Arabidopsis thaliana: one gene and its partner. The protein of the gene in region 1 interacts with the protein of each later gene in a pairwise test. Each region holds a gene or a part of one and is shown in the gene's direction. Other genes may lie near its edges.

The links.
Region 2: the proteins of ACS9 (region 1) and FEI2 interact in a two-hybrid assay, tested with the Arabidopsis thaliana proteins (one study listed by BioGRID).

Annotation. Positions count from the first base shown.
Region 1 is NC_003074.8:18,433,799-18,437,813, reverse strand, and holds ACS9 (1-aminocyclopropane-1-carboxylate synthase 9), read left to right. Parts: upstream 1-1,672; coding exon 1,673-1,819; intron 1,820-1,912; coding exon 1,913-2,044; intron 2,045-2,128; coding exon 2,129-2,289; intron 2,290-2,371; coding exon 2,372-3,344; 3' UTR 3,345-3,365; downstream 3,366-4,015. UniProt on the Arabidopsis thaliana protein: 1-aminocyclopropane-1-carboxylate synthase (ACS) enzymes catalyze the conversion of S-adenosyl-L-methionine (SAM) into 1-aminocyclopropane-1-carboxylate (ACC), a direct precursor of ethylene.
Region 2 is NC_003071.7:14,960,055-14,967,085, reverse strand, and holds FEI2 (Leucine-rich repeat protein kinase family protein), read left to right. Parts: upstream 1-1,647; 5' UTR 1,648-1,840; exon of another isoform or gene 1,841-2,069; intron 2,070-2,313; 5' UTR 2,314-2,445; coding exon 2,446-2,542; intron 2,543-2,653; coding exon 2,654-2,789; intron 2,790-2,879; coding exon 2,880-2,951; intron 2,952-3,039; coding exon 3,040-3,111; intron 3,112-3,363; coding exon 3,364-3,435; intron 3,436-3,823; coding exon 3,824-3,895; intron 3,896-3,989; coding exon 3,990-4,061; intron 4,062-4,256; coding exon 4,257-4,345; intron 4,346-4,466; coding exon 4,467-4,622; intron 4,623-4,717; coding exon 4,718-5,050; intron 5,051-5,129; coding exon 5,130-5,375; intron 5,376-5,469; coding exon 5,470-5,603; intron 5,604-5,680; coding exon 5,681-5,899; 3' UTR 5,900-6,235; downstream 6,236-7,031. Other genes in the region: MOR1 (ARM repeat superfamily protein), read right to left, coding at 96-258; AT2G35615 (Eukaryotic aspartyl protease family protein), read right to left, coding at 6,352-7,031. UniProt on the Arabidopsis thaliana protein: Involved in the signaling pathway that regulates cell wall function, including cellulose biosynthesis, likely via an 1-aminocyclopropane-1-carboxylic acid (ACC)-mediated signal (a precursor of ethylene).

The DNA of each region.
Region 1 (4,015 bases):
ATGTTTCTCGCATTTGCAAGTTCTGTTTTCAGAAGAAGACTGGTAAACAAAGTCATAAGTTTTCGTTTCGTCTCTTATTTTTCGTTAATTGACTTGGGCTTAGAATCTGTTCAAGGCCCATTTATTATGGGCTCGTTTATTTTTTAATTTTTTTGGGCAAGCACGTGATGATATATACAGTGGGATGTTATTTGTGTGCGAATTAAATAGAGTTTTTGTGATTTAAATGTTATATAGAATCTGTTGTTATTCAGTTAAAATTTTTTAAAAGTTTATTAAAATCTAGTGTATTAGTTTAAAATTTGTAAAATGCGATCTAAAATTTTCATGCAGTTATTTGATTCATACTTTTAGAAAGTCAATAAAATTTTTGTGTTATTCAATTAAAATAAAAGAATTTATGATTATTAATGAATTAAATTATTATGTTATTAGTTTATAACTTTTGATATTTTCCTTTACAAAATAAAGTCATCAAAAATATCATTAAAATAGAAAGATTATTTGGAAAACTTTATAAGATTGTGGAAAACTAATCAACAAGATTATAGAAAACTCTCTAGATCTAACAATAATTTAGAATCTTTCTATTCTTTATTTTGTATGCTTTTATTAAAATCGTCAAAAAAAAATTGTAAATTAGAAACAATAACATCTTTAAATCAAAAGATTCATAACCAGAAATTGTGAATAATACACTTTTTTTTTTAATTTGGACCTTGTGTCTGATTAACCCTAGTGGCATGATCATGAAATTATCGAGTTCGGATCTAAATGTCCAAATCCGAAATGGATCTTAAAATTTTTTCTAAGCTTAGTCTTACTGGCTTCGGAGATATTCAAATTCCCAAAACTCCCAATCAAAATTTACTATTTATTTTCAATTTGGCGGCCACTTTTTCTTCAGATTTAATATCTCTAATGTCCACTAGTTTTGTATTATAAGCATAACCGCAGTAATAATCATAAACATCTCAGATAACTCCCGAAACACAATTGGTGAAATCCCCAACACAATATCATGACATTCGATCTAAAAATAGATTTTGTATTGTTTTGGTCGCTAATTCATTGTCATGTATGTATGGGCGGTGACCGAAAACGCGTTTTATGGACAAAACTAATTTTGTTTTGTTTAACTATGTGTCAAGCTTTCTCTTTTCTCTATTCTACTTCACCTATCCAATTATCATTATTATCGTTTTCTTTATATCTCTCATGTGTTTGTGTAATAATATATATAGTGAGGGTTAAACAATATTATTCTACTTCCTCTAAAATTTTATAACGTTTTAGTCTACTTCTGTTTTTAATTAACCCAATTTCACACATACTTCAAAATTTGAAATAATTGTTGAGTCTTTTTCAATTTAACTTTATATAGAGATAGGAAGAGAGATTTTCTTTAGATTTGTAGTATAAGATTAGCAAAATATATACTAACTGACGATAAATGATTACTAATAAATTACTAGCTACGTGACGTCAAGTAAAAAACGGAAGTATATATATATATAGCTCCCACAAGCAACCACATTCCACATCTCACTCTTCAGTCTTCACCAACTAACTAAAACCTAATTCAACATATCTCTCTCATTTACCGTTCTCCCATTCTTCATTAGTCATCTTTCAATAAACCAAACATTCTTTTTGATTTTTATATCAAAAAATGAAACAACTGTCGAGAAAAGTGACAAGCAATGCTCATGGACAAGACTCTTCCTACTTCTTGGGATGGGAAGAATACGAGAAGAACCCTTACGACGAAATCAAGAACCCTAATGGGATTATTCAAATGGGTCTTGCCGAAAATCAGGTAACTATAACTACGAGTTTTCGACCAATCGACCAATCTTTAATTATTGTATATTTTTGGGTGTTTAATACGATGTTTTTAATATGCATGCAGCTATGTTTTGATCTCATAGAGACATGGTTAGCTAAGAATCCGGACGCAGCCGGACTAAAAAAGGACGGCCAATCCATTTTCAAAGAGCTTGCTCTCTTTCAAGACTATCATGGCCTACCCGAATTCAAGAAAGTAAGTAATTAATTTTTTTTCACCTTCATAAGTAACTCGATCAAGAAGCGAGTAACTAACTTAATAGGGTTTATTTATCTATAGGCTTTGGCAGAGTTTATGGAGGAAATCAGAGGAAATAGAGTAACATTTGATCCAAGCAAGATTGTCCTAGCTGCTGGTTCAACATCTGCCAACGAAACTCTCATGTTTTGTCTCGCCGAACCCGGGGACGCTTTCCTTTTACCAACTCCTTACTATCCAGGGTAATTTTTTAGGTTTTTTTATTTAATTACTTGCCTCACAAGAAACCTGAGCTGATAGTATTTGATTCGCTTATGCATACAGATTCGATAGAGACTTGAAATGGAGAACGGGAGCAGAGATCGTACCTATTCATTGCTCAAGCTCTAATGGGTTCCAAATAACAGAGTCAGCTCTTCAACAAGCTTATCAACAAGCTCAAAAGCTTGATCTTAAGGTCAAAGGAGTTCTTGTTACCAACCCGTCTAACCCTCTTGGCACAATGTTGACCAGAAGAGAACTTAACCTTCTCGTTGACTTCATTACTTCCAAAAACATTCATCTCATAAGCGACGAGATCTATTCAGGTACCGTTTTTGGGTTTGAACAGTTTGTAAGTGTCATGGATGTCTTAAAAGACAAGAACCTCGAGAACAGCGAAGTCTCCAAACGAGTTCATATTGTTTATAGTCTTTCCAAAGATCTCGGTTTACCAGGTTTTCGCGTAGGAGCAATTTACTCCAACGACGAAATGGTTGTTTCCGCTGCAACAAAAATGTCAAGTTTCGGTCTCGTGTCTTCTCAAACACAGTACCTTCTCTCTGCATTGCTTTCAGACAAGAAGTTCACAAGTACATACCTCGACGAAAACCAGAAAAGACTCAAGATTCGTCAGAAGAAACTCGTGTCCGGTCTAGAAGCTGCAGGGATTACTTGTCTTAAAAGCAACGCTGGTTTGTTCTGTTGGGTTGACATGAGACATCTTTTGGACACAAACACATTCGAAGCAGAACTTGAGCTATGGAAGAAGATTGTATATGACGTCAAGCTGAATATTTCACCTGGTTCATCGTGCCATTGTACTGAACCGGGTTGGTTTAGGGTTTGTTTCGCCAACATGAGTGAAGATACGCTTGATTTGGCGATGAAGAGGCTCAAAGAGTACGTAGAGTCAACAGATAGTAGAAGAGTGATTTCAAAAAGCAGTCATGATAGGATCAAGAGTTTGAGGAAGAGAACTGTCTCCAACTGGGTTTTCCGGGTTTCATGGACCGACCGTGTACCTGATGAACGATGAAAGTATATTCATCGCCCCAAGTTAAGACAAAGCAAATCTTCCTACCAATTTTTTTCATTTACAATAATATATATATATATATATATATATATATATATATATATATATAATCGTTTTTTATTGTTTTGGAAAATGGTTGTTACATTTTCTTAAATAATGATATTACTAAATATTCTTTCTTTCTTTCTTTTTTTGGGTTTTAATATCAACTATATTATTTTTTTATCTTTTATTTATAAATGTTTCCCTGAGAATTTGTAGCCAATTTTTTTTGTTTTTTTGGATATAAGTGTTACTAGCATTAAGTGCACTCAATCCAAATTTGAATTTGTAATGGCTATCTATATATCTATCTCCTGTAATGTCAAGGAAAGTTTATATCCATGAAAATATATAACATATGTACATTTCTACATTTCGCAGTATACAAATATTAGCCATATATATATTTACACACACATAAAAACAAACGATAACATGAAAACTACTTTCGATTTGCTTAGATATTGAATCAGAAGGTTTAGTCCATAACGTAACGAACAACATAAATTAAAGTTTAGTTTACGACAACTATCCATTATACGATGGAAAAAATTACATGTTATATTACATCCAGAGAAATATGATATATGCTACGATATTTGATCAGAAAAACAAATAGAAAAAATATA
Region 2 (7,031 bases), on another chromosome or scaffold:
ATCCACACCGATATAAACCACCCTAATCAGATCTGAGCTTCAAAAACAAAAACCCTAACATAATAATAATAAAAAAACGAGGTAGAGAAACTCACCAAAATCGCGAAGACGAGGGTCCTTAGGATCAGTAATCGAATCAAAAACAGAAGCTAAATCGACGTTAGCTTCGTTCCTAACTTTCCAATTCTTATGCCCAAGCCGATCCTCCCAAGGAAGTTTTTTCGCCTCCTTCAATAACTTCTCATCCTCCGTCGACATTACTCCACGAAATTATCTCTCCGACGGTATCGATCTTATCGATCTATACCAAGTTTTTTTTTTCTTCGTACGGTCTCTTGGAAACTTTCTCTCTCTTTTCAAAAAAATTTCTTCGTGTTGTTAGTGCCGGCAAGAGAGAGAGAGAGAAGGACAAAAAAGAAGAGTAGGGTGGAGCGTAATGAGAGAGAGAGAGTGGGGGAATTTTGGTTTCTACGTTTAAATCGGTGGTGTAATTTTTTTGTTAAAAACCCTTCACGCGCGTTTTGATTGGAAATGTTTACACGCGCGATTATTTCAAATCTTAAAACGAGCGTTTTTCTTTTGCTTTCTCCACGTGGAGAGATCGGCATTTTCAAACTATTTTAGGAAATGATTAACAGTACTGAATTTTCCTATTGTTGGTTCTGTAAATATTTTCAAAATATATTTACATTAACAATCTATTAATTTCTAAGAAAATAAAGTAATATTTTGAAATGAATAACTCATTTTTAGTTATAAAAATATTTATTTTAAAAAATCAACAAAATCATGAGTTATTATTACTTACTTATTGGATTATCTTTTCTTCTATAAAATACAAATAAATAGTCATTTTCTATAAAACTAGACACGTAAACCAAAATGGATTTATTAGTTTGATTATGGAAGTTCAAAAACATTGTGTATTTTATGATTTAAAAACTAGTTAAAATTTATTATTTTAATATCCTAAATATTTATGCTAGGATCTGATTTCGCTTTGGATTTTAATATATTTGAAATATCTAATTCAAATTCAGAATACAAATACTCAAATTTCAAACAAACTTTGATTGATAATTAGTACAAGAATATTTAAGCCACACCACACCTTACACCTTTTCCATCTCCATCCTCATGTCTTAGGTGATGTAACTCTCTATCTCCAGATATCTTTTCTTGTCTACTGCTAACACATGAAACAACAACTCAAATTTAAGCCATATTTTTACAATGGTACCAAATTTATAAGAATCATAGATGAAATTACCAAAACAAGAAGTTACGTGGAAAGATTGAATCCAATATTAATATTTTGATTTCTATTATAAAAGCAAATGAAATAATGATTATCAGTCCATTGTTTGTTCCATTTTTAAGTACACTTGTTTGTTTGATTTAGGTGAATAAGATCCGCTAAAGCTGAAAATACAAGAATTGTCCCTAAAGATAGTAAAGTACAGTACGCTTCCAAATAAATAACAATGGGCTTTAGTAGGCCCACGCAATAACGATGTTTTAACTGACCCAACAAGCCCTTGTCCAGTTCTGGCATTATACAATGCGTCGGTCGACACGTGTAATAAGTCATGATCGGCACGTGTGGTCTCCACTTCTCCTCTCTCATTGGTCGTAAACTCGTAACTAGCCGATTCCTTCTCCAAAGTATCTCACATTTCCACTGCACACTCTACTTTCTCTCTCTTCACTCTCTCATAAATCACAACAACAACAAAAAAAAAAAAGTTGTTAGTTAAGACATTGCTTTACAGCTCAATTGCGTCTTCTTCCTCTGTCTTATTCTTCATCTTCATCTTCCTCCTCGCGGATCCATTTTGAGGTTCGTGTAAATTCCCATTCTCTTTCGCCATTTTTTTGGGGGAAGTGAGATTTTGGTCTGAGTTATCGGCGAATCGATTTCGTTTTTTTAGATTATTGAATGGTTTTGTTGACTCTTCAGTTCTTCTTGTGCTGTGATTGCAATGATGTCCTCCGAATTTCGTGATTTAAGTTCGATTTTAGCTATCCGAGCTCCTCTTTAAATAATGAGTTGGGGTTTTATTCTGAAGGTTCGATTTCTGATTTTGCAAATTTGGGAGGTGGATTTGATCCGATTAGATAATCTCACTGTTCTGGGTGCTGTAATTGTTAATGAGACCATGCAAATGTTGTGCATCGATGTTGTGGAACGCTTGATTTGTAATTGAGGATTTGGTTGTCTGATTATTGGAAGATCGAGGCTTGATAGAGTTTCAAATGAGGGTCAGCTGTTATTGTTGTACGGTCTAATGACATTATTTTATTTAACTTCAGGAGTCTCTTTTTGTTTCTTGAAGATAGACTGGGCGTCACGGAGCAGCTGAGTATATGCTACGAGTGTTGCATTCCGGAGGCTGTTCTTTCAGATGATTGGCAGTAGCTATATTATGCTTGAACGGTGCCATAATGGGCATCTGTCTAATGAAGCGCTGCTGCTCATGGTTTCTTTTGATCTCGTTTCTCTCTGCACTAACGAATGAAAATGAAGCAATTAGTCCTGATGGTATACAGCGATATGTGTCTTTAATCTCTTCTATATTTTGTCTTTGACAAGTCATGATCACCATTTACTCCGCCCAGATTGCTGAAGGGATTAAATCCTTTTTTTCTCCAGGTGAGGCGCTTTTGAGTTTTAGAAATGGAGTTTTGGCTTCTGATGGTGTTATTGGTCTGTGGAGACCAGAGGATCCTGATCCATGTAACTGGAAAGGAGTGACCTGTGATGCAAAAACAAAAAGAGTTATAGCCTTGTAAGTTTAAAATTTCTTTAGTTTAAATTCTTTTTTTTTCTTCAGTATGTGGTGCATCTTTTGTCGGTTCCTGAAGTTTCTTGTGTGCAGGAGTCTTACTTATCACAAATTAAGGGGACCTTTACCCCCTGAGCTTGGAAAGCTGGATCAGTTAAGGCTTTTGTATGTGCTCCTAACCTTTTAATTAATATTATTGATGTCTAGCATATGCTCTACTACTCATTGTATGTGTATTCCCATGTCATTGCAGAATGCTTCACAACAATGCGTTATATCAATCAATACCTGCCTCATTGGGAAATTGCACGGCATTAGAGGGAATGTAAGGGCTTTCCCAAATACTTATGCTGATTAGTGTGATTACACTTCATTGCTGATCGAATTCTCGTTTTGTTTTTCCAAATTTTATATTATTTCCTAACAATTACTAGTGTTTTTCTTTATTTGCTTCTATATAGTTGGTGCATAATATTGATGCGTCTTGTGAGTGATGATAAACTCAGTCACAAGTTTAGCTAGTTGACAAGAATCGTTGTGAATCTTTTATAATTTATTGTCCTTTTATTCCTTGCAGATACTTGCAGAATAATTACATCACTGGGACAATCCCAAGTGAAATAGGAAACCTGTCCGGGCTGAAAAACCTGTACGTGGTTTTTTTCCTCGTTCTTCCAAGTGGATTTGTTTTCTTAGCCTCTCTAGGATCTGCTATTTGTTGTTCTGCTATCTACTCTCACCATTTAGTATCCTCTATAATTATATTGTGAACTACAAGAGGTTCTTCTGATCTTCCATGCAGCAACAACATAATGTTTTCGAAAGTACTTATTTCTACAGTCGTGGTGAACCCTAAAAATTATAGGGAGTTTGACATAACTTATATTTAATCACGTATTGTGTTATTTTTTCCGGGTGAAAAACTCTCAAATATGATGATGAGAATTGTAAATCTATGCTAGGCTTCTTTCATATTAAATGGGCATATCATCTACATTCTTCTGAACTACTATGATTTTTGACTCTCATTTATGAAGGGACCTCTCAAACAACAATCTCAATGGAGCTATCCCTGCTTCACTTGGGCAGTTGAAAAGGCTTACTAAATTGTGAGTTGCTAATCTCTAACTTGCGTATTTTATTTTGCAGTCCTGTAGATATATGAGTGTCAATGTTACTAACTATGTTGATCTTCTTTTGAAGCAATGTCTCAAACAATTTCCTGGTGGGAAAAATACCTTCTGACGGCCTACTCGCTAGACTCTCGAGGGACTCGTAAGTATAATTTATATATACCCATTTCCCCAACCAAATTTTTGTAAATTATGGTTGATAAATCTTTCTACGGTTGATCTGGCAAAGCAGTTATAATTTTTTTTGTGACGTTGTGTACGATAGCACCCTGTTACTAGCTTTGCAGCAGTGTAGCTGAAAATAACCAAGTCGTAAACTGTTGAATCACTCTTGCAGCTTCAACGGAAATCGTAACTTGTGTGGAAAACAAATCGATATTGTGTGCAATGACAGTGGAAATTCTACAGCTTCTGGGTCTCCAACAGGTAAAGCAACTGTGTTTTAATCAATTTCTTGTCAGGATATATGGATTATAACTTAATTTTTGAGAAATCTGTAGTATTTGGCGTGAAATGAGTTTGCTTTTTGGTTTCTCCCGTGTTATAGGCCAAGGAGGTAATAACCCTAAAAGGCTGCTTATAAGTGCTTCAGCTACTGTGGGTGGGCTGCTCCTAGTGGCGCTCATGTGTTTCTGGGGATGCTTTCTCTATAAAAAGCTTGGTAGAGTTGAGAGTAAAAGCCTTGTGATAGATGTCGGTGGAGGTGAGCCATGCTGACTCATATTGTAGATATTCTCTCTAAGAGTTATATTTTTCTCTCAAAACTTGACACCATAAGAGACGATTTTTTCTATCCAGGTGCGTCTATAGTGATGTTCCATGGAGATTTGCCCTACGCTTCCAAAGACATTATCAAGAAACTGGAATCTCTTAATGAAGAGCACATAATAGGCTGTGGAGGCTTTGGCACAGTGTACAAGCTGTCTATGGACGATGGCAATGTTTTTGCGCTGAAAAGAATTGTTAAGTTAAATGAAGGTTTTGATCGGTTTTTTGAAAGGGAGCTTGAGATTCTTGGGAGCATCAAACATCGTTACCTTGTGAATCTACGTGGATACTGCAATTCACCCACATCAAAGCTTCTGCTATATGATTACCTTCCTGGTGGTAGCCTTGATGAAGCTCTACATAGTAAACCCTCAACTTCATATTTACGGGTTTCCTTAACGGAGAATTATGATTCTATTAAGTGAAATTTTTGAATGTGTAGAGAGAGGCGAGCAGCTGGATTGGGATTCGCGAGTTAATATCATAATAGGAGCGGCAAAAGGGTTGGCATACTTGCATCATGATTGTTCTCCTAGGATTATACACCGTGATATAAAATCAAGCAACATCTTACTGGATGGAAATCTGGAGGCTCGGGTATCAGACTTTGGGCTTGCCAAGTTGTTAGAGGACGAAGAATCTCATATTACAACCATTGTTGCAGGCACATTCGGTTACTTGGCTCCAGGTACTCAATTACACAGTAATAACAATGCTTATTACTTGTTGTTACTATCTGTTAGGACCTAAATCCGTGAACTCATAATGAGTGTTTTTTGCAGAGTATATGCAAAGCGGTAGAGCGACTGAGAAAACCGATGTTTACAGCTTCGGGGTTTTGGTTCTTGAAGTCTTGAGTGGTAAACTTCCCACGGATGCCTCATTCATCGAGAAAGGCTTTAACATTGTTGGTTGGGTAAGCATAACGAGATCCAGCTTAGATAATAATATTGACTAGTAAAAGCTTAAATTTTGTTTTTTATAATCTTGCAGCTAAACTTCTTAATCAGCGAAAACCGGGCAAAGGAGATTGTTGATCTAAGCTGTGAAGGAGTGGAGAGAGAGAGTCTCGACGCACTTCTATCAATAGCAACAAAGTGTGTGTCGTCAAGTCCAGATGAGCGGCCAACAATGCACAGAGTCGTCCAGTTACTTGAATCCGAAGTTATGACTCCTTGCCCCAGCGACTTCTACGACTCCAGCTCCGATTGATCTCACGTTCACAAAGTCTGTCTGCCTTCTCTTTTCAGAGTTCCTTTTCAGTTTTACAGTACAAAGTTCTCGAGCCATTCATAGTCGGTACCTTTTTTTTTTTTTTTTTTTACTTTGAATTGGTAGATTGGTGACACGCCTCAATTGATCTGATCATGAGATTAAAATGTATATGACCATCCATTGTAGAAACACTGTTCCTAAGAATCTGAATAATTTCTCTATCATAATACTTTCTTGTTTGCTTTCTTAAGTTTTATTATACATGTTGTGTACTTCGGAACTAGTTGAAACCAATCATATAATATCGATGAGAAGATCAATATAGAAAGAAGGTAATTATTTTTACTAGCAAGGATAATTTTTAAGCTTTGATTCTGATTTTACATCTCCATAACAAACAAATGATTATCATGGACAATATAAAATAAGCTCGATACGACGCCGTCAAATCACAAATTCGCAGAGCAATCCATGTGTTGAAACGACACCGTCCTCGTCTCCAAGTCATACCCAACTAGGAAATCCATCTGAGCAAAGTTCCCATAGATGGCAACCTCGGTGGTCGGAACCATACTCAAGCAAACCATGTCTTCACTCAGTTTCACGAATGCGTTGATCGGACTCAGCCTCACATCTGCACCCGTGAAATGCACCGTTATCTCCGGCAAACCGATCTCTGCACTTCCGGATTTGAAACAGTGAGACAAAAGCCCTTGTGGATCACTCACGCGCTTGGCTCCGGTCACTGATTCCTCCACCGCCGAGCTAAATTTGTCAAAGAAACCAGCTTCGAGGAGGGTCAGTGTCGTTCCAGAGTCGATGATGATGTTTCCAGATGTCTCCGAGAGTATTCCGTCGTCGTTTGGGTTATACGAGCTTCCGGTGTAAGGAATCTTTTTCTTCCCGACGGAGATGGCTTCAAGCGTCAAGTAGTAGTAAGTAAGAGGCTCTTTATCGACCAACGGAGTTGATACCACGCCGGAGTCTTTGCTTAGACTTGAAGGAATCGAGTTAGTGCCTAGGTTTATGACGCTTGTGCCATTCGTGGTAGCTGACTTGTGAGACAAGCAATAAGAAAATTTCTTCGAAATCGACGAACCGAGCTGGGAGATTAGTGATAAATGACCAC